4 linked regions of the Lepisosteus oculatus genome follow. The protein of the gene in region 1 binds, or shares a complex with, the protein of each later gene. Links are inferred from orthologs where the notes say so. Each region holds a gene or a part of one and is shown in the gene's direction. Other genes may lie near its edges.

Region 1 (7,297 bases):
TTGTTTTTTAGAAAGGAACAATAAATATACACATTTGATTTATGACACCAAAGATTACAAGTGTGCTAAGCCATTACGCTTGTTAATACTGTAGTTTTCACGTATATAGCATTTGGGAACGGAGGAGATCAGTCCACCTGTCACATGTAAACAACCATACAGCTTCTCCAGAAAGCCACTGTAATTACACTTCTCCATGAAATCTCCTCCGGCCTCCAGCCAGACAAACTGCACACTGAGTAAAAGTGGAAGAATCTGTGCAGTGTGGAAAATCAACCCGTGGAACCTGTCCCTGCCACCAGTGAAAGGCACGAGGTGGTACACATGACCCCTGAATAGACGTGTACAATAACCTGGCTACTAGTCTCCAGTACTGCAGTTCATTGAATTACAGAATTCTCCAGAATTACGGCAATCCTACAGAAGTACTGAGAGTTGTGCAATTCAGAATTATACTAATTACTTATACTGTATAAACATATAAACGTGTATGAAATGATTGACACAAATGAATAATACTATATTAACCGTGTTCAACTTTCTGGACCTCAAGTTGTTAATTGCACCACTGGTAAAAATACATTTAAAAAGGCACCTATTCACGTGACAGTTAGTGAAAAAAGTTACTCTAGTGTTTTGTAGCTAAGCATTAACTTCAGCACAGAAAATTAAATTCTCTCAATTACAGTTTCCTAGACCTACATAGATCCTACTGTAAACCTTGGGATCAATAAGAACAAAAGACACTTAAAAAAGCCAGTGAGCTAATGAGCACAGTGCTGTGTGACGTGTCAGTCCTCTCCCCATTTTTATGCATCCTCCCATTTCAGTGCCACATGTTCTGCAAAGAATGGGAACAGAACTAGTTTTAATAGTGCAGACCTGTCAACCAGAGCCAGCGGCAAAGGAGAAGAGTTAAAAAAGATGATTCATGGGGAGTAAAAACGAAAGGAAAAGGAACAAGGATGGCAGTATGAAGTCCTGTGAAACAAGAGGGACTTTTGTGAGAGTAGTCATTTGCAGAGAGAGGGGGTTTTGCTTCCTTTTGGACGAGTACTGTATTTTAAAATATTTTAGAAGGATACTTCCTAGAAGGCACGGTATCCTTCCCAGATTCCGTTCTAAAAATATCTTCAAGACCCCGAATTATTATAAAACAACAACAACAGATGGGTGTTAAAAGGATCTGGCTCCACTGTTAGGTGACCGTGACGCTGCTGCTTCTCCTGGCTGCGCTGTCAGGAGAATGCCTCTTACTGCCTCCCTCCCTCAAAGGCTGTCCCCCAGGCGTTTCCGCCTCCTGGCTGGGCACGGGAATATAGGGCTGGCCCCAGGGGGCCCCTCTCTGGCCCCTGCGGAGGAAGAGTGGGAGGGCATCCCAGGTGAAACTGACGTCCTTGAAGGCGTGGAGGAGAAAGATGCCCACGATGATGGTGAGGAAGCCGCTGATCGTGCCCAAGATGCCGTCCGCGGACATTTGGAACCACTCCTTGAAGAGGATGGCGGAGCAGGCCATGACCGCGGTAGTGAAAAAGACGTAGTAGATGGGAGTGACGATGGACGTGTTGAAGATGTCCAGCGCCTTGTTCAGGTAGTTGATCTGCGTGCTGATGCAGGCCACCAGACACACCAGCAGCGCCCAGAACAGGGGCTCCTTCAGCACCGGCTTCCCCGCGAACAGCTCCTTCGCGCCGATCCCCAGCCCCTTCACACAGGACACGGAGAGGGAGCCGATCGCCGAACAGATGAAGATGTAGACCAGCACATTCTTCTGGCCGTAGCGCGGGGCCACGATGAAGATCAGGACCAGGCTGCTCACAACGACGCACGCGGCGAACACAATGAAACCTGCAACAGGCAGAAGACAGCAGTTCTGTTAAAGTGAATAATCTGAAAGAAAGAAATCGGGCGCTCGCTCGGCAGCGATCACAGCTTTCAACATCCAGCTTTTTGCATCCCACTTCAGCTTTCATCGCCGGCGTCTTCCTGTGGCTCAAGCCAAAACCAGACAGGGCTGTGATCACTGACCACTGCCGGTCACTTAAATCACAAACTTCAAACTTAATTTCAGCCCAGTGAATTCCGGAGGGCACATTCACCCCCGAGAGACTGTGCAGGTGTGTGACGTACCGGGATCTTTCAGCTTTTCCGCCATGGAGCTCAGGGAGTCCACTTCCTCCTCCTGTGGGGCATGGATGACCATCACGGTGGAGCCTAGGATGCACAGCAGACACCCGATCTTCCCGTGAACATTCAACCGCTCGTTGAGGAAATAGGAGGACAGCACAGCGCTGAGGAAACAGGAAGGGTGAGAGGGAGCTCTTGGACAAAAATGAAAAATGAAAGTGCTAGCACCTGTCAGAAATGTAACAATCTTTCTTGCATATCTGTATGTTATTAAGAACACAGGTCTTTTTGTGATGTGTTGTAAGTGACCCTTATTAGGATGGTTTGATGGAAGGTACCAAGACCATACTTGAAACAAATATCGGAAAAAAGACTTTTTTTTATCCAAGCGATTTACCACTGTTTTCATCAAAATGGCACACGGGTAAAAAAAATACACAGAGAAATCAAACAGCTTTTGCAGACTGAGCTCGTGTGTGTGTCCTGACTCACCTCACCAGGACGCTCAGGGCTCCCAGCGGCGTAACGAGCGTGGCCGGCGCAAAAGCGTAGGCCGCAAAATTCGCAGCCTCTCCCACCCCCACTGCAACACAAGAGGGCAGAGCAGGTCAGGAGGCACGCCAGGGCTTCTGCCATGAACACACTTTTGTTTTCAATCACAGTACTTTCTTTCAGAGGGTTTGGGCCTCCAGTCTCTGGCAGAACATGTGTCTCAAAGATTTCCAGATTAAAACAACGTACAGGTGAGCTGCAACGTCATGACCCGTTCATAAAAAAATGAAACACACCCGAGTATCTGGACATAACGCGCAGCACAGAGCAATGTGAGAGGAGAAGAGAGACGAAAATGGCAGAGAACCGAAGAGCCAGAATGGTTCTGATCTGGACATCCCTCCGGGTTGTCAAAGCACCACAGACCACCACTGGGTCAAGCGCTGGTTTAAACAAAACAAAGGCATGATCTTGGAAAGAAGTCTCTGCTGCTCAGACACGTCTTTCCGTAGCTCTTATTACAGTAAATCATAGTGGAAATGACATTCCTGAATGCTTTTGAAGAGTCTCGAAAATAAACTGTAGGACTTGTAGAACCCAAAAGGACACAGACTTCACGACTTACTTGAAATAAGTCCTGCCCACCACAGCCACTCCTTGAGGTAGGCGTGTCCTCCTTGGCCTGCACAGGGAAGGACAAAACAAAATGCCTTCATCTCCCAGTGTCTCCCGCTGAACTGCAGCTTATCACCACTGACAGCATCAGTAGCAGGAGTACAGGTATGTTTCCTTCAACACTTGTTTTAGCTCATGTCCAATACACCGACTGAACCAGTTTTTCAACGCAATCTGGTTTTCTGTGACAGGTACAAACAACAAAACTGGGAAACAAGTTCTCCAGCATCAACCGAAGAAACTCACAAGTGGGAAAAGACATTCCATTCCAACAATAATACGCCATATTTAAACACAAACACACTGCAAAGTGAACATCTTCCTAATTAAATAAATTTCATATTATCAACAATGTGAAATTTTAAAGAGATGCAAGAATGTCTCACATTTTCCCAAGATATGATGTAAATGGGTGCGACGTATGCTGTAACTCTTCCTGACCAGGTCACAGAAGGAAGTGACAATGACAAGATGACAGAAATGATACACGGTGAAAACACAACAGTCTAAGTTTCACATCAATGGTTCACTTCCCATTCAGGTACTGCTGTTTGCGTTTTACAGTGTGAGCAGTTACATTTGCTGGTTGTCTGAGTAGTGTACTGTGCCTTGGGATAACAAAACACTCTGCTCAAGTCATGTGATTGGTATTTGAGTTATTTTCGGAAAAAAACTACTTTAAAACTGGGCTCTATTAAACAGCCTGGAGAAACTGAAACAAAAGTTACACAAGGCACAGAGATTACAACGACGAATCATGCGATCTAACAGTAAAGTCGACAGTAAACGCAAGGACAGTGAGTCCCGATAAGGTAAGACACAGTCGCAGTGTGGACACGTACCCGCTCGCATTGACCCCTTACTGGCCAACCGGAGGAGCCCCTTCTTCTTCAGAATGAAACTGCCCCCAATAAAGACACTGGAGCAGATGGCCAGGGAGAGGCCGATGTAGAAATTCACTCGGCTCGCAGCATCGATATCCATCTGTTGACAAATGATTCAAGAAAGTCTGATACTGGAGAGAAATCACAGCTGAGCTGAGATTTAAAAAGAAAGAGAGAGAGAGACGCCTCGATCTAAAACTCAACAGCTCAGGTATGACTGTTTCGTATTACATTTCGTTTTACTGAAACCTATCTGGAGATTGAATGCAGCGTCGTTGAAACAGGTCAAAGTCAGTATCTGCTCGTTTGTTGAGGGTGAGGTTGAGGTTTTTTTTTCTAAAAAGCAATCCGTTAATTCAGTTCTTACTGTAGCTATAATTCAATTTTCCAAGACGTTTATGTGATGTCATGGGACAGCTTTGTCATAAAACAATAAGTTATTTGTAGAACATGTACATAATTCAATTAAACCTATTCTGTAATAGGGAAAAAAACAGGAATTTACCTTGCAATCGTGCCCATAGACGCCTGATACAGAGCTCTGTCACAGGCCGGGGAAACCGCAACTTCCTCCATCAACCCGTCCTCTCCGTCTGCAGGTCCCCCAGCTCCGGCTGCCCGGAACCTTTCTTTCTCCTCTTCTGCCGCGAAGCACCGTTTTGAGCTTTCTTCTATTTTAATTAAGTAATATTATCGCTGAAGACACCGGAATCCGTAAGGCAAAAGGCGTTTAACCGAACTGTTGACTTAGTGAATGTGAGCCGTATTAAAACGACGAGAGCAAGGCGGACCCTTTGGAGAGCGGGAGTTGTTGTTTACAGGTAGTCTTTTCAAGAGAGTATCCGGTTGTGTTGTTGTGGAGGAGGAGGTACAGTTGTTGTTGGTAAGTTCAGTACGTATTTCTTGCGGGATACAGTAAGATTATATTTATGATTTTATTTTGCTGCCTCTAACTATATGTAACATATTATTTTAATAGGAGCCAGGGTGGTGCCGTTTATATAGTTTGTTTTTTAGTTTACTTTATTCCCTGCACTATTTTTGAAAATTTGCATCAAAATCAATACGTTAGTTGAAGCACAAACAATAAACAACGATATCTCATATCTCCTAATCGCTTCTTTCTCTGCGTAATAAAAATATCAATTTTCTTTACAGAGGACTTCGTATAACGCAAGTGTTTATGCAGAATAAGAAGATCAAAATGACTTCCAAAGCAAAAGGTTCGACATTTCTTTCTGTGCACTTCGTTTACCTGTACATATTTATATCCGGATTTATTTAAATTTCGCTTAGATGGTGATGCTTAGTTAAGTCGATTTCATTACAAAAAGACGCCCTTAACTGTTGATGTCTTGATTTGTTCTCCTCCAGTGGGAAAGGCAGGCTCCAAAAACAAAGACGACGCGCCTCATGAGCTGGAGAGCCAGTTCATACTGCGGCTGCCCCCGGTACGGAACCTGAACCTCTCCGAGATCGGAGATGCCGAAATCGACCTCATGTAGTTTCCATTGAAACGTCCTCCTGTTTTTTTTTTTTTTTTTTTCATGTAGGAATACGCCTCCACGGTTCGGAGAGTAGTGCAGTCTGGTAGCGTCAATCTGAAAGACAGACTCACCATTGAACTGCACGGTTCGTACCCTGGAAGAGTTCCTCGATTGCTCAGATATTACGGGACTTAATCACTAATAACCGCATGTCTGGATGTTGCACTGGCTTCATCGTTCACTGGATCGCAACAAACAAACTGGGTCGAGATACAGACGGAATAATCTGGCATATTCGACCATTTTCTAGACCCGATTTAAGGGCTAAAAAAAACAACACCGAAATGACAGTTGTAATACATGTGTCCCTCTACGGCGTCCTTATTATATTAATAGTTCTTACAGTTAGGTAACTTGATATCTAGGTCAATTTCAGGTGTTAAGACACCATACTGTATGTACTTAAAGAATCCTACACCAGCTCCTGAAAATGTAAAGCTTGTTCTTATGTTATGGTGGTCATTTTATGAAGTCTTATTTCTTTCCCAGTTATGATCAGTTGAGTTTGTGTTAGAGAATGCATTTCTCTGAAGTTACAACAGCTTCAACAGTTGTGGCCATGTGCTTTCACGCATGATCTCAAAACGAATGACCCCTCTGTGCAGCTGACGGGCGCCATGGGATCGTGAGAGTGGATCGCGTTCCTCTGGCCTGCAAGCTGGTGGACCTCCCCTGCATTATAGAGTCTCTGAAGACAGTGGATAAGAAAACCTTTTATAAGACTGCAGATGTTTGTCAGGTAAGAACGAAACATTCAAAGGCATACTGTGAAAATTCATGTCTAGTTTTAAAATGTACACTTACTTTGATGCAATTAAGTTTTAAACTAAATTTCAATTTTATTAGGCTATATGCACAGTATTATTTTGGATCTGTTTTCCCTTATTTAAGTGTGATTGATTTTATTTGTTCTCCAATGTTTAATTGTAATTTTTCTGTAGCATTTTTTCACAAATCCTGGGAAGTAGTCCCTTCCTAGTTATCTATCTAGTTATTCAGTTATGAGTGGCTGACGCTCTTTGTGTTGAGCTGTTCAAATGAATATTGTATGTACACAGATGCTGGTGTGCACAGTGGATGGAGACCTGTACCCCCCTCTAGAGGAACCCACAGGAACTACAGAGCCCAAGAACAAGAAGAAAGACAAAGATAAAGACAAGAAGTTTATATGGAACCATGGCAGTGAGTATCCACCCTGCTCGCCTCGTTGCTTTAAAACGTGTTGTTCCTTGTTTTTTCAGAGGCAGTATTATAATGAGCCTGGTAACAAAATAGAGTTTAAATACTTTGAAATTAAGTTTCAAATACGAGACTTAAGATGTACTGTAGCAAGGCAGTATTTTTTCTTTCGTTAGCAGTAGTTCTTCTGTGGGTTTATGCAGGTAGGTGGATGTGTTTGCGCTGAGCCTTTTCAGAGCTTCCTGAAGATTTTCAAGTGACTGTGAACGGCTGTGTCCATATGAACAATAATAGTCGTCTTTGGTTTTACTGTCTAGTCACTCATCCCTTGAAAAACACCAGGAAGAGAAGATTCAGGAAAACTGCTAAGAAAAAGGTAAAATTTAATGTAAA
Region 2 (7,402 bases), on another chromosome or scaffold:
TGAAGATGATGTACTCGTAGATCTCGTCCCTGGGAGGCACTGGTCTATCTGTAGGGCGGCCCTCCGTCCCGAAGGATCGCACTAATCCAGGGAAGGACAAATGGCATTAAGACCGTCGGTTCCCACTTCATTACTTACACACAGGTAACAGGCTAGCACCTAACTCCTAAAATAATGACTATCCCGAAGTAACATTCTTAAGAACCAGAACTTTTTCTTGCTTTTACGCCGGTAAAACAATCTTTAACTTGCGAACTAGTCTCTTAAAAGAGATTCAAAGGTACCGAAAGGTAACTGGTTACTGGCGCCACCACCTCAAACGAGGATACAAACACCCCGCCTCTCAAACACAATCATTTCACGGGCACCTAAGAGCGTCTCTGTTACATCTCCTATAAATAAACACGAATAAAAAGGTTTGTAAGTTTCCACTGGAAGAAGGAAAGCAACTGGTACTCACCTTTAGCTAACGCCACGGTCGAGTTCTCCGTATCTATGGTGTACAAAATACCCTCATATCGGATCTGGGCCTTGGATATGAGGCCAATTTTGCTACCAAGGTAAGGTGTTCCGGTACTCATGGCCGGTATATATGTACTTCCTTTACCAACTTGTAATTTTCAAAGGAGATTTTTTTTTTCCTCCACTCCTACGTTCGATCTTTAATTGTAGCAATGTTAACTTGTTAAGAACACCGATCTTAAACATCAAACTCAGCCGAGTGATCCGCCGCCCCATCTCGCACGGTTTTATAGAGAATTCGGCAGAAGAGGCTGAAAACAATCTATCAATCAGACAGTCAGACAGACAGACAGACAGAGGGTGCCCCCTGCCGTTTGGAAGACAGAAGTAAAGACTCTAGTAATGTTTCGCGTTTTGCTCAATGTCGTAACCCCCAACTTTGCACTTGAGCCGTAATGCGGTATGTTGGCTATTGGCCCTTTTAACGATTAACTGTAGAGCAAAGATCCAAGGACAGCGTTAAGAGGAATTGCATTTAGGACAGAAACTAGCTGCTACTTCTTTACACAAAGCGTTGTGAAGATCTGTTACACAGCTAATAAATATTTCCTTACATTTATATAGCTCTTTGCTGGGCACTCCACTCAAAACGCTTTACAGATAATGGGAACTCCCCTCCACCACCAGCAAAAGTGATGGCAGACACATATCAGCTATGGAAGAGAACACAGTAATAAAGCCAATTCATAGATGGGGATTATCAAGAGGCAATGATTTGATAAAGGCTGGGTGGATTTTTGGCCAGGACACCAGGTTAATATGCCTACTCTTTTCATGAAGCGCCCTGAGATTTTTAATGACCACAGAGATTTAGGACCTTGGTTTTACATCTCATCCAAAGGAAGACGCCCTTTTACAGTCTAGCGTCCCCGACGCTATACTGAGGCATTAGCACCCACACAGGATGCAGTGTGAGTGCTCCCTACTGGTCCCAATAACACCTTTTCCAGCTTTCCCAGAAGGTCTCCCATCCAGGTATTGGCCAGTCTCAAACTTGTGGTTTGCCAGCTGTGCGTTGCAGGGTGATCTAGCTGGTATCTATAGCTGCCTCTACACGGAGTTGAAACACATTTCCCGATTCCTTATGAAAAGGATTTATGAAATCCCTTGGTAAATAGTAAGATGTTATCACCTAAGACAAATCAAACTGACTCCTAGCCTTTTTTAACCTCAATGTGTAATGGAGTTCTTCAATACAATTAAAATGTCTTAGACATTCATATTAACACTCCCAGTCTCACTGAGTAAATTGTATTCACACCATTTTCCTCTGCATGTAGGGAGATTTAGGGAGATGGTCGATGGCACAAAAAGATAGAGAACGAGTTTTAGAGAACCGCTCAGATTTTATAAGTCTCATTTTATGTATTGGTGACTCCACTGTAACTACTACATGACTTACTATGTAAGTATACATGTATAATAAGAATCTGCATCTCCTCCATCCATGTAATTTTTTTTATATAGCCAGCACCTACATTACTCTGCAACTCACAACTGACAACCCACTGAAGCTCAGCAGGTGTGAGCCTGGTCAGTACCTGGATGGGAGACCTCCTGGGAAAAACTAAGGTTGCTGCTGGAAGAGGTGTTAGTGGGGACAGCAGGGGTACTCACCCTGTGGTCCATGTGGGTCCTAATGCCCCAGTATAGTGACAGGGAGACTATACTGTAAAACAGGCACTGTCCTTTGGATGAGATGTAAAACTGAGGTCCTGACTCTCTGTGGTCAGTATAAATCTCAGGGCATTTCTTAAACAGGTTGGGGTGTAACCCTGCCCAAATTTCTCATTTGTCTCCTAATAATCCCCAGTAAATTGGCTTCATTACTCTGCTCTCCTCCCCACTGATAGCTGGTGTGTGGCGAGTATACTGGTGCACCATGGCTGCCATCACATCATCCAGGTGGATGCTGCACATTGGTGGTGGTGGAGGGGAGTCCCCATTACCTGCAAAGCACTTTGAGTGTCCAGAAAAGCACTAAGTGTAAGATAATTATTAGTGAAAAGGCACCAATCTGGTGTCAACTCTGTTAAAAGACAGATGACAATGCTAGGCGTGTTTGAGATCAAATAAGTATATACCTTTAGGGATAAAATGGACAAGCAGCCTTTCAGGTGTGTGTTTAGCAAACAAACAGTGAAAGATACACGACAACCAGTAAAAAACATTTTAAAGGGCTACAACATATTGAAGGAGAGACAGCTCACAGGAGAGAATACACCTATGTAATCCACGTGCTCTGTACATTTTCAGCTTCTTAGCAGGTTAGTTGCATATGATCTTGATTTTCAGTGTAGCTTATTCCAGTCCTGCTTCCTCTGGCAATGTCTTGTTATACAGACAATACACATCAAACCTGCGCTGAAAGATAAATATATTGAAGTTGCAGAACCCATTAAAAGTTCAAATTTTGACAAACAAAAAACCAGTGCACATTATTTTACCCCATATATCATTGCCAACCGATTCAGCTGAGGCTCTTATGCATTGCAATTTAAATTCAGACATTCATCTTCTTACTGCATTTAGCTTGTTTCCTGTATGACAATTTTATAAACAGTCCTGGTTAAGTGTCTAAGCAAATCAAGGAATAAAAAAATAAATAAAAAAGTGGTGTAAGCAAAAACATACCCGTTAATAAATTAACAATACAATAATCACAACAGTACAAGATAACTCATTTTATGTGGATTTATTTGTATGACAATTTTGTCCAAAGCGATCTACAAGAGGAAATGAAACATTACAAATCTTAATTAAATTTATACAAAATGTACAAATTCACACTGCAGGGGGAAAAAACCGAGCAGAATACGTGCTGCGAATTGGGGGCGTGAGCATTTTGAATAGATGGGAAGCAGGACGTACAGCTACAGCTTGAAGAGGTCGAACAAACGGAGAGAAAGGAGCAGCCCTTATTTTTACTAGGACTGGGAAATGATTCGGCTTCGAACAAGGGCTAAAGGAACTTTAAAGTCAGACACGGGAGACTGTCAAATCGACACCCCGAAAAGCCTGGCCGTGCTTCTCAGGTCGTAAATGGGAGCACAGGATAAAACCCAAGTTTTCCTCGGATGAAGCGTCTAGCTTGGGTACTGCCACCTTTCACTAACGCTTCACATCTCCGCTACGCGGGTGTAGCATCTCGGAGTCACGGTCTGTAAATAGTCTGTTTCATACAATGACAGTTGCACTGACATAAATATACTTTCCCCTTTTGTTTAGTGGCGGAGTGCAAGAATTCATTTATCAACAAACAAAGCCAGCCATGCCCTCTTACACTACCGCAACACAGGTCAGATACGATTCAAACAAAAAAAAATAATCAGTTCCGGTCTAATAAAGGAAACCGCTTCTAACTCGCACCCACCGCTGAAATACACTTTACAGTATTACAAGATAACCCCCCAGTAGTCTCGACAGCATGTACTACACGCTCTTGGCAGCACTCTCAGGTGTGGCGCCCTCACACACTCTCTGAACTTACTGAACAAAAACAACGCAGCCATCTTGAAACGCAAGTACAAAAAGCCGAAGCGCCAAAACAGAAAGTCTCTTCGATTTTTGCCAGATTCACAACTCCAAACCAGCATTAAAGACTCATAAACATCACTGCCTGTAATTTCCAGTTGGGTCCGTTATTTGCGTTAAAAAGTAACGCGGACACAGCAGCTTAATACTATTATACTTAAACCCCACCAGCTCCTCAACCGACGGTGCTGTATCATCCTCTACTTTCTCGATAATGACGCTTTCAGCCATTTGTCCCGCCCTTTAAATCTGGAAACAACCAATCAGAATACGCCGGAATCCCTATCCCGGTGACGTTTCACACCATTCGCGCGTGCGTGAGGCCGGGTAACCCCCCCTCAGCTCATAGCAGAGTAAGATGGCGGCGGGCTCCGATTTGCTGGATGAGGTTTTCTTCAACACAGAGGTGGACGAGAAAGTAGTTAGCGATCTGGTGGGGTCCCTGGAGTCTGAGCTAACCGGCTCGGGTCACGGGAACACCGACATAAGAGGTCAGGCGGTGGGGAACCACATTGCAAGCCCTGGGGTAGGAGGCAATGCCAGTGTCCAGGAGAGCAAATTGGGACTTGCACAAGATCTGGCAAAAGCAGGTAATGTAACATAGTAAACGTTGTTTTGGTTTTTTTCTTTTCTGTTTCCGAAAGAGAAAATGTAAACGAATGCATTCATTGCCATGCCTTCCAATGTGCTGTGATATTTTTCCCTCTCACTCTGGTTTGTTTCCGTTCCAACAGGGGCTGGAGTGCAAGGGGGTGTTATTAATAATACGAGGTCCCAGGGTTCAGATATGGATGCAACGACAGGGATCACATCATCGGCGGGGTCGGAGGCATCAGTGGGGCTCAGCCAAGGCAAAACTGTGGCTGTCAGTGCCATGGTAACCGCTGTGCCCAACCACGGAGCGGGCAACGGGAAAATCGGGACGTCTGCGGTGCAAACTTTGAATGGGAGTAATGTAGTAATGAACTCTCACAATTCAGGAAGTGCCGCTGTTTTCCCCGGGACGCCAGTATCAAGTGCTACGACTTGCAGCAGCAGCAGCAGCACTGCACCTGCTGTCACAGTTGTCAACAACGGACCTGGATCGGTTGTGAAAGGAAATGTAAACGCTGTTTTGCCTTCAGCCTCAAGCACTGTTATACAGACCTCTTTCGTGAACGCGCAGAATGTTGTTACTTCGACAGTGATCTCGTCTCAGGCGACAAGTTTGGGAAGCGGACCTACAGTGACTCTAGTGCGGCCTCCGATGCACACGACCGGACCGGGTACGACGCAGAATGGGAGTACGAACAGTACGGTCCTGACTTCGGCGGTCAGTGTAGCGAGCCTGCCCGCCCCGGTGGGATCTGGAATATCTTTACAGGCTCCGCTTTTAAACAGCAGCCCGTCGCCCGTGAGCGCCGGGGCGCAGGTGATCAAGTCGGAGTCCCCCAAAACTATCATCCAGACTACAGCGCAGGCAGTTGCGCCCGGTGTGGTGGCGAACGCCGGTAACTTGACTCTTGGTCAGCCTATGCAAAACGCCCTGCAGCCAGGACCTCCACCGCAGCCCAGTTCGGCCGCGGCTATCGGGAAGAGTCCGGTCTTGCAGAATGTAGCCAGGACTTCCACTCCGGGAGCAGTCGTGCCCGGTCCGGTCGGAATACGGACTATAGCTCCGCAGGTGTTGGCTCCCCGCCTGCCCCACGCACCGCAGAATCAGCCAAATATCCAGAACATCCAGCTGCCTCCAGGTAAGCCTTTAAAAGTTTGTTTTTATTATTGAACACACCAGCAATTCTAGGGGTTTTTTTCCCCTTGAAGAACTTTTAAGAGCTGTCCTTAATTCTAGACAGGATCCTAACTCCTTCATAACTTAATAGGGACTGAATCGCTTTTAGTTCATGATTAGCTCAGCGTCTGAAGCCCAAGACAAATTTCATACACACGCTGTGTAATTATAGTCACGGTCTTGCTCGAGTAAGTCAAGAGATTGCACTTTTTTTTTTTACCTTTTATCTTTCTCGATCATGTCGGTCGTTTTATTTTCATGAACGATAATGTGCGTCTCAAGAAGAGCGTCTGCTGATGCCCCTTTCGGATAAGTCTGTGAATATGTGTAATTTTAAAGTTAGGGAACTGAAAAAAAGCTTATTTATAGCCTAAAGACCGAAAAGCTAAGCTGGTATCCAAACGTTTTTGGTTCCAATGTGTACGTTTTATTAAGTACTCCGACTTTCTTTCCTTCTTAAAGTGGCTGCTGCCACTACAACCTAGCAAGTAGAAAGTTTGGCTTGGCAAGTCCTTAAACCGTGACAATTGATGAAATATAAACAAAGACAATGTATTTTGAAGTTTGTAGAGCAAAGGTCATTATTGCACGTTAACTGTGTGTAACAATCAAAATACAGCAGCTATTCATAAACCCGTTACGTGAATCTATCCAAAGCTGAGGCTGGTGTTTCTCTCTTGGAGAACTTTTCAGGAGAGAGGAAGTTTGAGCAGGAACTTTGCAACTTATCACTTTGCAAGATAAACCTCTCAGTAAACATAAATGGCAGTTTAATTTAACAATGTAGTAGTAATAAATGACTCACAAACTGTTAGAATCAGTAACACAGGTGGCAGAAACAGTGATGACTGACAGAAGCAGTCCTCTGTGTGAGGTGTTTATTTTACACTAGTAGACATGACTGAAGTTACCCTGTGTCCTCTGAGCTAATCAGTGTTCCTAGGACCTCTTGTGCCTTAGACAGAAAAGTGAATACTGTATTATTTGTCTGTATGTGTGTTTGTTTTTACTTTCTTCGGTCCTTTAAAATCTAAAGTGTTTAAAAGCTGCTTGTTGCCATTGCTCTAAAGAGATTAATGATTACAGTGAGAAAAAGTATTCAAAAGAGGTATGTAGGCCTTATGTGTAGTTAGCTCCACTGTGAAGAAAGTTTTTAACAGTAATTCAAAACCACAGTTAGTCTAGTTACTGCATCTGCTGGTTTTGTTCATTTTATTAACAATCTGCATACCTTCGTGAACAGTTAGCCCACACAGAGGCACTGACAGATTGCTTCGGTGGTCTCTGATTTTGTACCTAACTATGACTATTAAGCATGAAGGAGGCTTAATTTCAAGCAAGTTGTTGCCGTTGTTAAACTAAAGTCTGGATTAGCTGGTGTAAAAACGAAGTTCATGTATAAAGGGTTGTTTAATCCACCGACGTAAAAAAGAATAAAGTTGTTGGTGGCTATGCTAAACGCTCCAGCTCAGAAATTGTGGTGGAAGAAGATGTGATTTCAAACTGCCAGGCACACTTACTACTTCACAACTTCACAGCACTCGGGCTATATATTCACTTCTCTTTATTTATAAT
Region 3 (7,717 bases), on another chromosome or scaffold:
TTTGTTTGTGTTTCAGATGCGAGTGTGTGCACCAAGTGCCCCAACAACTCGTGGTCCAATGAAAACCATACGTCCTGTCTTCTCAAGGAGATCGAGTTTCTCTCGTGGACCGAACCCTTTGGGATTGCGCTGACCCTGTTTGCGGTGCTGGGGGTTTTCCTGACCTCCTTTGTCCTGGGGGTCTTTGTGAAGTTCCGCAACACTCCCATTGTGAAGGCCACCAACAGGGAGCTCTCCTACCTCCTGCTGTTCTCACTCATCTGCTGCTTCTCCAGCTCTCTGATCTTCATTGGGGAGCCCCAGGACTGGACCTGCCGGCTCCGCCAGCCGGCCTTCGGGATCAGCTTCGTGCTCTGCATCTCCTGCATCCTGGTCAAGACCAACCGGGTGCTGCTGGTCTTCGAAGCCAAGATCCCCACCAGCCTTCATCGCAAGTGGTGGGGGCTGAACCTGCAGTTCCTCCTGGTCTTCATGTGCACATTCGTGCAGATCATGATCTGCGTGGTCTGGCTCTACAACGCACCACCCGAGAGCTACAGCAACCATGACATGGACGAGATCATTTTCATCACCTGCAATGAGGGCTCCCTCATGGCACTGGGGTTCCTCATCGGGTACACCTGCCTGCTGGCCGCCGTCTGCTTCTTCTTTGCCTTCAAGTCCCGCAAACTGCCAGAGAACTTCAACGAGGCCAAGTTCATCACCTTCAGCATGCTTATCTTCTTCATCGTCTGGATCTCCTTCATCCCCGCCTACGTCAGCACCTACGGCAAGTTTGTGTCGGCCGTGGAGGTCATCGCCATCTTGGCCTCCAGCTTCGGGCTCCTGGCCTGCATCTTCTTCAACAAGGTCTACATCATCCTCTTCAAGCCATCCAGGAACACGATCGAGGAGGTGCGCTGCAGCACCGCGGCCCACGCCTTCAAGGTGGCGGCCCGGGCGACGCTGCGGCGCAGCGCCGTCTCGCGCAAGAGGTCCAACAGCGTCGGCGGCTCCTCGGTGTCCACGCCCTCGTCCTCCATCAGCTTCAAGAGCAACGAGGACCAGGACCTCCCCGCAGCGGGGCCGCAGAGGGCTTGCAAGCAGACGGTGAGCTTCGGCGGTGGCAAGGTGATGCTCTCTCTCAGCTTCGAGGAGCCCCGGAAGAATTCCGTGGCCGTCAGGTACAGCCGGAGGAAGAGCTCCCTGGAGGGCAAGGACAGCGGCGACAGCCTGATGAGGCACAAGGCCCTGCTGCCCCTGCAGAACAGCGAAGCCCGGAGCGACCCCAGCTTCAGGACCGCCGGCAGCAACCCCTCCCAGGAAGCCGCCGGCGGGAGGAAGCAGGAGGAGGGCAGCACCGCTGACGACGCCGCGCCCTTCCCTTCCGCGAACTCTGCCGGCTTTGGGGCCAACGCGTTCACGGAGAACTCCAGCAACTCCTAACATCCTCTCGCGACGCCCTCCGCGCCCGCCCCCCCCCCCCTTCCCAGTGCTCTCAGAAGTAGGCTGAGGCCGCCTGGGCTGAGCCCGAGGGGAGCTCCTTTGCGGCGCTCACATTAGAATCACTTTTTGTAACCTGGAGCTGAATGTCTAGCACTGTGAGCATCAGACCGAGTTTATCTCCTGCTCCTACCGGGACGCGGACCTTTGCTATATCTGTTTGCGAGCTGACCCTTCCAATTGTTCTGCAACTCTCTGCCTCTGCTTTTTATTGAGGAGAAAAAGTACTAAATACTACAAGCACTAAGATCTACTGAGAAAGGCCCAATTAAAAACATGCAAAACGATTACACAGAAATGGTAACCCAGTTTTAGAGAGACGTTACCACTCTAATTACAAGAATACATTTTTCCTTATTTGTGTTTATATAAAACAAATGAATCTTAAATTCTTAAATTAATGCGACACTGCTGTTGTGCTTTTCGAAGGTCATTTGTGTGAGCCTTTCTGAACTGGGGTTTCAAGGGTCTGCTTAAAACACTTTTTTAAGATGATAAATCAATACTCTCCATAAATAAGTATATTTAGCATTTAAGGTTATTAAGGTATTTAACAATAAAAATTACTAGCTATAATAAAGTGCACATCAGTATCCATGTTTTTCAAATCTATTTTCATTCACTGAAATTTAGAATGATAGTTGCTTTGCATTAGTCACTTCTACTAGTGTTCTACACATTGTTCAAAAATAGCTTTTTTGAGCAATTAAGCCCCTCACATACTATAATTTTATTTGGTACTGTAATGTCATTGGTACTGAAAGAGGACAGAGGGTGAAGTATGAAGGGACTTTTTCATAACATTTATCAAGTATTTTCTACATAAAAATACCCGTTAAGGATTGTCCTTTTCTCCTTTTCTGCAAGTGCATGGTATACAGACAACAGATGAAATAGTGCAAACTTTTCGAATTGAGGCAGTTTACATTTGTGTGCCTGGTTTTAATCGTGATAAAGACCACAGACAAAATTACTCCAAAAACGAACATTGTATCAACCCATCAATTCACCAATCAATCAATCTTCATTCGCTGTAGCGCCCTTTGCAACAGTTGACCACAGAGGGCTTTACAGAATTATATTGTACAGCACCGGCTGACCCTGTGGGAACAGCAGAGACACAAAAACAGGTCTCAGGTCCAATGATAGCCCCCCCCACCAGGCAATAGATTAGCGGCACATTAATAATGCTGGGTCATTAACGATCTTTACCATGCCCAAGGCTGGGATACTGCTGTCCTCAGGTTGTTGTCAGGGCTATCCAAGAGAGGTCGCTAAGGTGTCCTGTGTCTGCTAGCATGTATCCGGTAAGTACAAACTGTGCACACTGTTCAATAGCAGACCCGTTTAACCTGTACCATTCTCTTGGATGCAGTGACGTCAGTGAATCTACAAGAACATTTGAATCTTTCATCTCTTTCCTATAAAGTTTTTGGGGACACTAAGCATAATTTTAGTTTTCCAGGAATGTTGGGTAATTGAATATATAGGGGCTAGCACTGCAGTGTACTGTGCATTCTCGGGTTAGGTGTTCCTGTTCTAGATTAGTCTTCACTGCTTGAGGAAAAAATTGCGCTTCTGTTAATGCTAGGGACGTTTTAGAATAGTCTGTATGGATCTAAATGTATTTTCATGTCATTATGAAAGCAGTTAATACTTATTCAACGCGGGCCCTGTTGTTTCATGTGAACTATAAATCTTTGGGCTTGATGTCAAATGTAACCCCTGTACGAAAGATTAAACAACTTTGTTTTAAAAGAAATGTTCTCTTGGGGTTTAGCTTATTCTGGATAATAATTCTATTCGCAGTACAATTACATGAAAAGAACACCACCCTGTGCTACACATAACTTTATTTTAGATAGAGCTACTACTCTCCCGGACTGATGTCTGTCTGTGTCGATACTCGTCCGTTTTGTCTCCATTATCTCGCAGCTGTGTCCAGCACAGGGCCGCTGGGTAGCCAGGGCCTGTCCAGGCAAGCTGTTGGCATTTAGCAAACATAAAAACTGGTACTTGAAAGCACCACATCTGTTTTTCGCACGGTGCTCCGCTTTCGGGGGGGGATGCGTGAGATACCTGGTTTTCCTCCCACCCAGACCCTCAGTTACCTCACCAAGGGTCTCATTGACCGCCTAATTGGACGAGCAGAAGTCTGCAGAGAGGCCCGCCGGCTCCGGCCCTTGAGGGGAATCACGCGTCTCTCCGGGCGCCCCCTGCTGGGCTCGGTGGGTGTGACTGAAACTCCAGCAACAGCGTGGGAGCTGCCGAGCCCATTCCGCACAGGCCAAGAAGAGACCAGGGCTACACGCACACGCACTTCAAAGCTGATTTCTTCCTGCCGACCGAGGGGGTGGAATTTCCCAACAGCGATTCCAGAATAAACACGATGACGATGGTTCACGTTGGATGGTACGAGCAGGGCGGCAAACGGATTATCTGGTTGACTTTATTGTAACCATTGCTAGCTTGGAGAATACGCAGTTTAACCACTGTTTCTCCTAACTGTAGCGACCATAGGTAGGAACAGTCATAGACAATGCTCACCCAGAATTACATTTAATCCGGCATTATTCCTTTTATTTTTCCAGCCAAATCCGGCCAGGTTATGCATTTATACAGCGTGACATTTTACGGCATTTGTACCATCATCCGCATGCAGAGAAAGTGTACAGTGTTTGTGGACTGCAATTCGCTTAATGTTATGTGATTAATACTGGCCTTCTAAAGAGAAAAGATTTTTAAAAAACATTTTTTAAGTCATGAAAAGAAAGTCCACATTATAGGCACCTCGTTCAATCAAACTGACCTCTGCAGCTAGCTACCAACTTAATTATTGTAATTAAAGCGATTCCCCTAATCGGTCATTCGTAGATCTCTACAGTGAGATGGACTCAAAAGACTGCACTAATCGGAAAGTCGTGGGTAGAGACTCCTGATCCTGCTTTGCATTTAGAACAGTTTTGTCTTCCAATCTGCGCAGTATCTGCGTAGAGCTGCGGGAATCTGCGCAACCAGGACTCGTCCACTCGCCTCACGCCGGCGTAGATAAAACCATCGGCGTGGGTGCAAAAGATGTCTCAGAAACGGATTAGGAGTTTGTTTTGTAAAGTATTTTACTACAATTGTGTTTATACCTATTTAAGTTCTGGCAATAGGTGACGGTTAAAGAATGTAATGTCAGTAAGCGCTCCGGTTTGTAATGGTATAATCTGACCGGAAGGTCACATGACCTGGGACCCAGGAAGTGAATGGTCGCTAGCGCCCAGCGCTTGTTTTTAGTAGTTCCCTGGACAGCTGCAGAAATTTGTTCCCTTGGTAAAGTACCGGTACAGTTTTTGGCGGTTGACTACACACACTCTTCAAGCTTCAGTCTTAGCCTGTAAAATCCCGATTTTTTTCTGCGTCTCCCTGCACACCAATTCGCTACAATTGCGGCTTTAGTAGGATCTAGGATGGCCGACGACGACGATGACCCCGCGGTGTGTATTTATCTTTTTTCTCGCCTTTTCACGCTCTGTGATACTTTTGTGATGTCTTCGATTCATTCCAGCCTCATAGAGCCTAGTGCTCATTTCCTTTCTCTTACTTCAGTGACGGGGGGAGACATAGGTGAAAGTTCGCCCGGGCTTGTTTCATTGTACTTGGTCCTGGGGTGATGACAATATTCATGCACATCGACACCGGCATTTGGAATTTCATGTTTTGTTTCCCTGCAGTGCTCATTTTAGAACAGTACTGGTTTAATACAAAAGAAAATGTTGTATTTAGGTTGGACTGAATGTTGAAGCTCAATTTAAAAACAAGATCCATAAATTAATTGCTTGTGTAAAGACAGCGGGCTCAAATTAGAAACTGCAAGTTGTGTCCACCAGCGAGCTTCATGGCAGAAAGGATTTGTCTGTCTGTACATGTTCCAAAAAGCTTAATTTTCGTGCACGTTTATGAGTCGCCTATTAGTATTTATAATGCAAGTCCCGTTTAAATGTTTAGTCAGAAGGCAGTGATGTGGCCAAAGCAGCGCTACCCTTGATTTTTATTAAGAAAGGGGAGTTTTCGACCAACCCTCCAGGCCACCGTCTTTTATTACAGATCTGCAGCAGCTGGTTGACCTCTTAACGCCGGTGATTTATGAAACGATGTAGTTCAGAGATCACCTGAAATCCAAATACCTGCACCCCATAGTTCTTGGGGATGCCAGTGGTTCATTCCTGAACCACTTAATGTACAGTATTGGCTCAACTGAAGAAAACTCCGGTGTTCTAAGTTCTTACTAAACCGGTGACTCTCTAACACCTGCTGGAGTTGGGCTCTGCAGAAGCCTGGGGTGGCCACAGAAGAGTATAGAACGTTTAGGTGTTACAGTGGTGTGTGTGTGTTTCAGATGAGCTCTGTCCGTGCTTTACTAAGAGTGACAGGAATTCCAGTGTGAAATGTGATTTTCCTCCTGGAAGTGAACTGGTCCCGTGCTCCGCTCTGTCTTGCAGTTCGAGGAGGATGTCGAGGAAGGAGGCAGCGGGGCAGAGGGGGGTCATGGGAGAAGGAAAAGGCTCTTCTCCAAAGAACGTGAGATTTTCCATTGGCTTCCCTCTGACGTCGCCTCGTGGCACAGGAGCTTGTTTGTTTTATACGCGAGACACGCATGTCCCGATTTAAAGCTTCATCCTTCTCTTTTCTGCCAAAAAGCAGTCAGGGCTCGTTTTACTGCTGTCAGCTTTAGTCAACAGGACAATTCTAAAGCTTCAACAGAATATTTTTGGGGGCCTCTGCTTAATGGGAATATTCGTGAAGTATTTACCTCAGCTATTTTTTACGTAAAAAACAACTAACAAAATTATAGAAATTTCCTCAGCTTTTTATCATAAAACTGCGAAATGCAGAGTAGTACCAGTGTACTTTTTCATATCAGAATTCCCCTCCTGCTGCAGTCGTCAGCAGTCGTAATGTGTTTTCAAAGGTGCTGTACCTTGTTGATAGTTACATACTTCAAGACTTTGATGTTATTTTTTGGGGGGTTCTTGTTTTTTCTTATCATCTTCTCTCTTGCTTTTGTCTTCATGTAGTAATAATAATAATAATAATAATGTGTGCCATTTCATTAACAATTGTAGCCTCAATTGCAGTTTTGTGTGGTATTATCTCCCTCACACGCAGTTCGATGCATGATGTATGGATTCGGGGACGATCAGAACCCCTACACCGAGTCTGTGGACATTCTGGAGGATCTTGTGATAGAGTTCATCACAGAAATGGTACGTTGTGAGCACAGCTGCTCTGTTCTGCCTAGCAGTGTGAGCCTGAGTTCGAAGGGTGAGCTTTGCAGATGAGAACATTCATTTAGTCGAGCTCTGGGAAGCAAATGGAGGTACAGAGGGTCCCTGTTATTAGTCACCGTAATATGCATCAATATTCATTGCTTCAGCTGTACTTCATCAGTTAATTAAGGAGCTATATTCATTTTGTTCGCACGATTATGCACTTTTTCAATGAACCAAAACCCAGCAATGTAGGCTGGCTGGCAGGCGCTGCAGTGTGCTGCGATGTGGCCCTCTGAACGCACTGCGAATGTACATATCGTATCTTTATATATTTGTTGGAATTGATGGGGAAAAAAAAAGTGTTGGTGTGAGGTTTAGTTCTATTCACAAGAGGCAATGTGTCACACTTCCACTTTCCAACATATCAATTCCATTTCCCTGGTAAGAATAATAACATTTGTCTCATCAGTTTTGATTTGTTGTTTTTATGGGTTTTAGGTACATTTTATGTAAATACATGTCTGAACTGATTGTGTTAGGAATGTATCTCAAGCTAATTACATTATTCCTCATGTATATTAATTCCTCTTTCTTGCTACAAGTTGCTTTATTTAGGAACCTGCACTTGTAGCAGGGGCCTCTGTAAGGGTAAATAAATTCTTCATATTACTCATGTGGAAGACATCTGTTCTCTGCAGTACTAAAACTCCACAGCATGTGCTATATAGTGCACTTCTGAATAATTTAGTTCGGTGTTTTCCAGTCCTACTCCTAGAGGACCACACACATGCTAAGTTCTGATCCAGCTGAGATGTCTGCTACACAATTGAACTCCTTAATTGACTTAATAACAGAATTAATTTGACCTGTGTGACTGTTTTCAGCTCTTGTACATGTTGGAGGTTGTCTTTGAACTATTGCATTTCATAAATAAAATTCCAAGCAAGATGAGAAAAAAATTGATTTTTTTTAATCAA
Region 4 (7,988 bases), on another chromosome or scaffold:
GACATTCCACTCAAAGCGCTTTACAGGTAATGGGGACTCCCCTCCACCTCCACCAATGTGCAGCATCCACCTGGATGATGCGACGGCAGCCATAGTGCGCCAGAACGCTCACCACACATCAGCTATCAGTGGGGAGGAGAGCAGAGTAATGTAGCCAATTCATAGAGAGGGATTATTAGGAGGCCATGATTAGTAAGGGCCAATTAGAGAACTGAATAACTTCTTTTATTTAACCAGGTAAGTTAATCGTGCATTTGCAACGCTGACACGAGGAGAGGTCTTCCTGGTGCAATCTGAGCACTATGAGGGCAAGTACAGTATCCTGACAGCTCAGAGCAGAACGTGCCCCGAATCCAGGAACACCTCACTGCCAGCCCCAGGGGTGAAGCGGTGAAGCGGTGAAGCCAGGTTCCTTGATAGCTGACACAGTCAGGCAACATCGGAGTTCATCAACAACGAAGAGCTGCAAACCGGAGGAAGCCATTCAGCCCAGCTGGCCCTCTTGGCTGTTACTTGATCCAAGAGTCGCATCCAGATGCTTCACCAACATGGCCAGGCAGCATGAAGCCTCAGAAATGAGCACAGACAGCAGAGACAGGCATATCGAAAGAAGCCAGCAGGGTATCCGAAGGAAATAAGGAAATAACGTCCTTCGGATGAGATGTAAAACCAAGGTCCTGACTCTCTGTGGTCATTAAAAATCCCAGGGTGTTTCTCGAAAAGAGTAGGGGTGGAACCCCGGCGTCCTGGCCAAATTTCCCATTGGCCCTTACCAATCATGGCCTCCTAATAATCCCCCTCTATGAACTGGCTTCATCACTCTGTTCTCCTCCCCACTGATAGCTGGTGTGTGGTGAGACTACTGGTCACTATGGCTGCCGTCGCATCATCCAGGTGGATGCTGCACACTGGTGGTGGCGGAGGGGAGACCCCATTACCTGTAAAGTGCTTTGAGTGGAGTGTCCAAAAATTATGATGTAAGCAATTATTATTAATTATAATTATTATAAATATACTGCAAACTTGTGGATTTTTTCTGGTTTTCAAAACGCCAGGGTAGGCCCCCCTGACGGGGGGGGGGGGGGGGCTTTTCTTTGTGACCTCAGGCTCACTGAGAGATAAGACGCCTGTTTATTCGGTTTCGTTAATGATTGAATTCACTTCACCCAGTGTGAAAAACCTTCAACGCTGAACACAACCCACGCACCGCCGACCTCCAATGCCAGGCTAAAGACTCACACTGCCAAAAGCAATCTCGGGGCTTTAACTAAGACTCTAGTTTCTTTTTTACTTCAGAGTTCGTATGTGCTCCCACTGTTGGGGTGGGTTTCCTCTGGGTAATCCTGTTTGCTCCCACAGTCCGCAGACCAGACTGATAGATTAACTTAACCGGCCTCTGGGAAAGTCGGCCCTGGTGTGAGTACGTGTGATCGCTGCCCTGTGACGGACTGGCATCCCATCCAGGATGCACCTGGATTGTGCCCACTGCTTGATGGGATAGGCACCGGCTTCCCCCACACTGGAAGAAGCGGTGGGCAAAGTGGACGGATGGACAGTCCAGCCAGAAAGGGAAGCACGGCCACGTCAGGCCGGATCGAGATGGAATTCCAGTCCCACGTGCGCGCGCGCATTCTCCGAGCGCTCTTCCCCGCAAAAGCACGTTCGCAAGCTGGCTTGTTGTCAAAGCGCGCACGAGAAGCCGGGCGAGGAACAGGCACATTCCAGAGCAAGGCAGACTGCTGCGCTGAGGTGTCTCAACGCGGCATGCCTGAGCACGCTAGGGAAGGCTCTCTCTCCAACCCTCCTCCCCCCACCCCCAGCCAGTGAGGAGACGGAGCGAGCTCGGCACTGTTCGGCCCCATTGCCCGCTTCTCCCGAGGCCCGGCGGCTCCGTTAATCCCCGTCCTGACTGAAACCGCAGTCCCGACGCGCGCGCCGCGGAGTAAGCAAAAAAGCAGAAGGCCCTTCTTCACAGAACGCCTTTCCAGCGCTTGACTCCGTGATCCTGCCCGAAGAAAAACGGCCAAGGTGGGCTGCCTGCTGTAAAGTCGGGCACCGGGGCCCTAGAGAATCAGCAGAGGCCTGGCACTTGGGCACAGCGGGCTGGGCACTCGGAAGTGCCAGGCGGTTGTGGAAACGCAGGCTCAGAACACACACACGCCGCACAACCACAGAATCTGAAGCCAATCTGCTCAGGAGCAACGACGTTATTCTGTACCGGGGCTAAAAGAAGAGCCATGGATTGGACTGTGGGCAACACGGTGGAGCAGTGGTCAGCATTGCTGCCTCGCAGAGCTCTGGGTTCAATTCCAGACTCGGGGTGCTGTCTGTGTGGAGTTTGCGTGTTCTCCCGTGTTCATGTGGGTTTCCTCTAGGTGCTCCAGCTTCCTCCCACAATCCAAAGACATACTGGTAGTTAACTGGCTCCTGAGAAAACTGGCCCTGGTGTGTCTGCCCTGTGATGGACTGGCATCCTGCCCAGGGTATACCCCACCTTGCACCCATTGTTTGCCACGATAGGCTCCAGTTCCCCCAAGACCTTGAATTAATTGGATGAAGTGGTTAGGAAATGGACAGATAAGGTGGCACAAAACACACACATCACTTCGCAGTTTTGATTTCTCTAAGCCCATGTTTTTCTGATGCTATGCACTTTCACAGCCAAAGCTTGGTAAAGTTCAGCAAAGACTTACCAGCCACACAGTCACCACAGTACTGGCACCTGGGAGCTAGTCCCAGCTGATCCAGTGCCATGAACACTGGCCATATAAAACTCCAGTGAATTTAGCAACATTTCTGTCTGCAGAGTGGTTCAGTTCTCATAGTATCGTCATATACCACCTGGTCCAAATATCAGCCCTGCACACTAGTCTGCCTGACACACAATGGTAAGCATTAAAAAAAGGAACACGCCACGCAGACCTACAGTATTATGAGCTGACCTGAACTACTGAATCCTGCATATGGAAACTTGAACAGACAAGCAGATGTTCCTGCACAAAATCCATTCGCATATTTACAGGTGAGAGGAGGCTAGTCACTCGATCGAGCTCGTTCGGTGGTTGCAAATTGATCCAAGATCTCACCCGGTCCTTTCTTTAAAGAAGCCAGGATGTCGGCTTCAACAATATGGCTGGGCAGCCTACTCCAGACACCCGCCACCCTTTGTGTAAAGAAGAGCCTCCTATTCTCATCTTTAATATTTTAGGTCCTTCGCTTCGGCGCTGTACCGGTAAATGCACATCGGTCTGACAGCTACATGCTTCACTTCAGCAGGGGACTGCATTATTAAAGGCAAACAGTGTTGCTCTGGTTTTTAAAATAACGGCTTTTTTCGCCAGCCGTTGATCTCAGAACCTTCGTCTTCTTTGCCTCTGAATTTTTGGCAGGACTACCCTTCATCACAAACACTACTACGGTTCGTGTATTTTCTGAATTTAGAAAGCCTGACCAAAACCACACTACGGGATCAGGATTTGGGAACGAATAAAAACTGGATGAAAAACACAGCTGGGGTTAACTTGACATGCCCGAAGATTTGAATCATTAAACTGGCCGATTAATCAATATTGACGGGGTACCACAGAACACGATTATTTCCGAAGGCCTGATGTGCGGTTTTTTTTCTTTCAAGTCAAACGAGAGGAGAGAAAAGATCGCACTTAAAGCAATGATGCCCAGTGCTCTGAAGGGAAATCGCGTAGACATGCGGAGCTCTGAGGGTGGGCACGCAAGGGGTGTCTTCCTCATCCGAGTTAGTTACTTTAAAACACATGCTAAGGTCATCATTATCTTCGCTCATGGACGCCTGCCAGCCATTGATCGAGCCGAGCAGAGCTCTCCAGAGCCTACAAAGTGCACTTCAGCTTTCACTTGTCGGGGGCCGGGCTATGCCGGGGGCCACTCGAAGCGCATGACACCGCCGAATTGGATTTCCGATTAAGAGGGTTTTAATGTAATTACATCAAGTACCGCGCAGCATGTCAGGACTAATTTTACGACGCATCAAGTCGATGTTTACGGAGTGTGAGTTATCTCCGCCCTCCGCCCATAGATGCGCTATAACAGGAGTCATAATTTCTTTTACCGCGTTCCCCTTTTTATCAGATAATTCATTCGGTCATCTTTTCGGGGGAGGTAACCGATGAAACGAGAGGAGGTAGCACCTTCATACAGTAACAGCTTTACCATCTTTAGTGTTTTTAAATCTTCTTTCAGGGACACTACTTCCAAACCGTTTAAAAAAACGGTTACCAGAACAGTAAAAGGAAAAGGGGTCTTAATGACTTAATGACTCTTTCGACATGAAAATCTTAAACGAACCTTAAATTGTAAGCGTTAATTTGTCTGAAAGGATTTCGTAATCGAAGCCTGTATCTATATATAGACATCGTCAAGACTCGCCATTGTAAAGATGCTTTGTGCAATATAGCGTTAGGCAACTGTACGGTTTTAAGAGGCACATGCGTTCGGCTATTTCCGTCAGTGTCCAGATTAAATTATTACAGATTAGGAGGAAACACAGTTACTGAAGAACAGACGCTTAAAGAACCACTTAACAGACACGAAAACGGCTCTCTTTCCTTATCAGAAATGAATTTCGCTGCACCCTCGTTCAGCTTCTCCGATTTAAGTTTCTGATGAAATTAAACTGCAGTTTTCTACCTCCTTTCAATGTTTAATTACATTTTCTGCAATTAAAAGAGGTGACGCGTTAGCTGCTTGGAGTTAGGTTTCGAAGTCAGGTCGGTGACACACGCCTGCAGGGTGGCTCAGCTCCGCGCTTGCTAAGGCTGTGAGAGACTACGGGCGTCTTTTTTAAATGCACACTGTTCGTATTTACAGTACACATCTCGCCGAGAGCGCTCAGGAGAAGGAGGAGGAGTGCAATTCACACATGCTGGACTACTAGGAGTATGAATGACCGCAGCACGGACAGCTCCTTGCACGCCGGACGCAGTGCCCCTCTCCACACCCTCGCCCCTCCTGCGCGCCCAGGTACCGCGGGGGAGTCCAGTCCACCCGGCCCGCGCACCGGTGAAAACCCACAGAACAGAAAACGTTTCAGTCCCAGATTTCACGCGTGGAAAAACGAGCGGCATCGTAGACGTTTTCGCGTTGTTTACTGATATTGTTTTAAAAAAGATGCAAACTCGAAAGTGTGCACAAACAACACGAAACCACAAAACAAACGACCGGGGAAGCATATACAAAACAGCAAAACAGCGCAACGAAGGCAAAAATAATCATGACCTATTTCTTGGTCGGTGTCTGATATGTTAAAGGGATTATAACGTCTCTTCGTGTTGTGACGCTCTTCTGTTGTCTCTTGTATTTTTCATCAGCTTCATGGGGAAATAATTGTCAGGTGTTCTTAATATCGCACGTCAAAATTAATCGAAGTGGGTGCCTTGCGATCAACTACACAAAAGAAAAAAATGACAGTAGCGATATCTTGCGACATCTGCATAAACCCAACCAAATTTGTCACACGTTTTTCCCACGAACTGATTTCGAGCATATCAAGCGCCAAACAAAAGACGGATTCCCTTGCAGTGTGCACCAGCCCGTAATGTGTTATTAAACATGGCGAGGTAAGGAAAGGGAGGTCGACTTCTTGAAATGTGGAAGCAAATATTCAAAGAATGTTTGCCCGGCGCAACCCGATAGCAAAGGTGTGCTGAGGTCCGCGTCAGAGACAGGAGAGTTGAGGGGAAAAAAATATTTGCAAAGACGTGGGCTGAACTGGGTCTATCAGATCGTTTGTTATCGGCTCAAAACTGTATTTGTCCAAGAAAAAAACGATTAAATCTTGGGGGGTGTGCTTTGGACACCCAGGGTTACGCTTAGGCATTCTGAAGACTCACTCTTTCACCCACTCAATAATAATCTTCAAACCGCGTTTTGCACAAACCCCCCCTCCTCCTTCTCTTGCTTTCCTCCTCCACCCGGGCCGGACCCCTTCTCCCTTTCCTTGTACCTGCACCGGCAGGTCCGGTCTTCCCCCCACCTCTCACCTGAGCAAACTCGAAAGCGGGTGAGATGAGGAACTGTGACCGCCGCCTCCTCCGCCGCCGCTCCCTCCGCCTCCCGAGGACCCTCCACCGATCCCCGCCGACTGCCGCTTGCCGGATAGCAGCTTCTCGACGGCGGCCAGATTCCCAGTGCGGGCAGCCTCCAGGAGCTCCTGCTCCTTCCCCATCTCGGCTCGAGAATGGAGCCAAAGAGGGAGGCACACGCAAGGCAGCGGCTCAGGCGATTCCCTTTCAGCCTGGTGTCCCAGAGGCCAAGACGCGTATCCAGGCTCCAACAGCAATGCTCCCACTGACAATAATCCTCCACAGTTGATCGATGTTTTTCCTCGCGGCAACTCGCGCCCCGGATCCCTGCTCCACTCCGCCGCTCCAGGGAAAGTTTCTTTCAGCACCACCACCGGCCAAACTTCCTCCGACTGCCCCCCCGACACGTCACTTCCTTAGGACAGCCTCCTCCTCATGATGTCATTTGGTTACTTTCCAACGTCATTTCACAACAGCCCCATTACCCCATACCTGGTACAACCGGTAGTGAAATCCTATCACCCACTACCTCCCCCACAAGTCTGGATTTAAGTCACTTTAATAATGCGCTGAGAATGCCAAGAATTGCAAGACAATCGCATTTCGTTTTAATGCAGCTCAGCACAAAGAAATAAATATTCGTATCAGTTTCTTTGTGTCGGAAACAAATCAGATGTAACACGTTAAATGTATCAGAATGTATTTAGATGTGTCTACAAATTAAAGGAACTACCAAACACGAGAAAACAATATTACCACATACACTTCATTAACTATAACGGATATCCGCTATTAACAAGTGTAAGTCAGATAGGGCTGTTCAGCCTGCAAATACTGAAATAAATTGATATGTGGGGGACTTTTATTTGGGTGGGCAAAATTGCGGAGCATAGCACGCGTGGGCTAGAGCCCTTAAGTGTAGTCTAAGAGGCTGTGGTTTTTGCTTATGTAGACGTTATCTCTGAAGCCAGTAATGGAGCTGAATCCTAAACAGGTTGAGCTTCTATTTGTGAGAAATACATTTTAATCGACACGGTTTGTTCCAGGTATAGCTCGTGAAATGGATTTTGTCGGGTAGGGTGACTTTAAACTCTCCTGCCCCACCCAAGCTCAGTCCTGGTACCGACCTGCCTGGATGTCGGATATTCTTCTGTGCTGGGGTGTCTTCTCTGTGGAGTCAGCAGGTTACTCCTGTGGGCTGTTGCGTGGTGTGCCTGCCAAGTTAGACTTAGGGTAGGAGAGCAAAAAAATAATCAATTGCTTATTTACAGGAGGCAACTTTATTTCCTAGTTTTATATTTAACCGTTTGTTATGTTCTCCTAAAATGTATTATCCAGATAATGGAATTTGAAGGCTTTGCCCTCCTCCGCACTAAAATTCCGTTCCCATGGTTAATTCCTGTAGTGCAGTTCCATAGTCATATGTAGAAAAGCAATATTTGAATACAGTCTGCTGAGTTTCAGACAGCAGCTTCCTTACTAATGCAGTTATGGCACTGATCAGGTCACTTCACTTCAAATGCGGTTGTTCATTAAAAGATTCTTCATCTTTTTCTGTACGCCCAGCAAACCCAACACCCCTGGCAGACCAGCTGTTTCTTGCGTTTTCTTCTCTTCCCGGGTCGGGATCTCAATATGTTCTGCTCTTTGTTCAACGCCATGACATTTACGGGACCGTTTAACTAAATGTGTTTCAAATTGGCCACATGCTCTCAGCAGAGTTCTATTTGCTACAATTACAATATATTTGTATTTTTTTATAATCACGTGTCACTCGTATTAGACCTAAACTGTTCATATGAAACATTTTCAGATTAAAAAAAACACGTTTAGGCTATTGCTGATAGATTATATCACTTTCAACACATAAAAAGCGAAATCCACACTAAATGTTATGGCTACGGTTGGTTTATGTATCCTCAGATATCT

What was found.
Region 2: taf7 (region 1) and taf4a share a complex: the UniProt entries of both Homo sapiens proteins name them as parts of the TFIID basal transcription factor complex. The link is inferred for Lepisosteus oculatus from reciprocal best matches to the Homo sapiens genes TAF7 and TAF4.
Region 3: taf7 (region 1) and taf13 share a complex: the UniProt entries of both Homo sapiens proteins name them as parts of the TFIID basal transcription factor complex. The link is inferred for Lepisosteus oculatus from reciprocal best matches to the Homo sapiens genes TAF7 and TAF13.
Region 4: taf7 (region 1) and taf11 share a complex: the UniProt entries of both Homo sapiens proteins name them as parts of the TFIID basal transcription factor complex. The link is inferred for Lepisosteus oculatus from reciprocal best matches to the Homo sapiens genes TAF7 and TAF11.

The regions. Positions count from the first base shown.
Region 1 is NC_090703.1:50,850,246-50,857,542, reverse strand, and holds the start of taf7 (transcription initiation factor TFIID subunit 7), read left to right. Parts: upstream 1-4,292; 5' UTR 4,293-4,389; intron 4,390-4,683; exon of another isoform or gene 4,684-4,890; intron 4,891-4,971; exon of another isoform or gene 4,972-5,061; intron 5,062-5,336; 5' UTR 5,337-5,361; coding exon 5,362-5,401; intron 5,402-5,552; coding exon 5,553-5,629; intron 5,630-5,731; coding exon 5,732-5,810; intron 5,811-6,330; coding exon 6,331-6,464; intron 6,465-6,783; coding exon 6,784-6,907; intron 6,908-7,221; coding exon 7,222-7,280; intron 7,281-7,297. Other genes in the region: magnesium transporter NIPA2, read right to left, coding at 1,199-1,848, 2,131-2,291, 2,620-2,710, 3,245-3,301, 4,137-4,278. UniProt on the Homo sapiens protein: The TFIID basal transcription factor complex plays a major role in the initiation of RNA polymerase II (Pol II)-dependent transcription.
Region 2 is NC_090711.1:8,524,184-8,531,585, reverse strand, and holds the start of taf4a (transcription initiation factor TFIID subunit 4), read left to right. Parts: upstream 1-4,394; 5' UTR 4,395-4,414; coding exon 4,415-4,646; intron 4,647-4,790; coding exon 4,791-5,789; intron 5,790-7,402. Other genes in the region: lsm14b (protein LSM14 homolog B), read right to left, coding at 1-81, 461-581. UniProt on the Homo sapiens protein: The TFIID basal transcription factor complex plays a major role in the initiation of RNA polymerase II (Pol II)-dependent transcription.
Region 3 is NC_090700.1:3,894,716-3,902,432, reverse strand, and holds the start of taf13 (transcription initiation factor TFIID subunit 13), read left to right. Parts: upstream 1-4,700; 5' UTR 4,701-4,937; coding exon 4,938-4,964; intron 4,965-5,969; coding exon 5,970-6,048; intron 6,049-6,636; coding exon 6,637-6,734; intron 6,735-7,717. Other genes in the region: casr (extracellular calcium-sensing receptor), read left to right, coding at 17-1,425. UniProt on the Homo sapiens protein: The TFIID basal transcription factor complex plays a major role in the initiation of RNA polymerase II (Pol II)-dependent transcription.
Region 4 is NC_090700.1:29,936,043-29,944,030, reverse strand, and holds the start of taf11 (transcription initiation factor TFIID subunit 11), read left to right. Parts: upstream 1-4,976; 5' UTR 4,977-4,998; intron 4,999-6,017; coding exon of another isoform or gene 6,018-6,202; exon of another isoform or gene 6,203-6,627; intron 6,628-7,988. Other genes in the region: ankyrin repeat and SAM domain-containing protein 1A, read right to left, coding at 6,018-6,202. UniProt on the Homo sapiens protein: The TFIID basal transcription factor complex plays a major role in the initiation of RNA polymerase II (Pol II)-dependent transcription.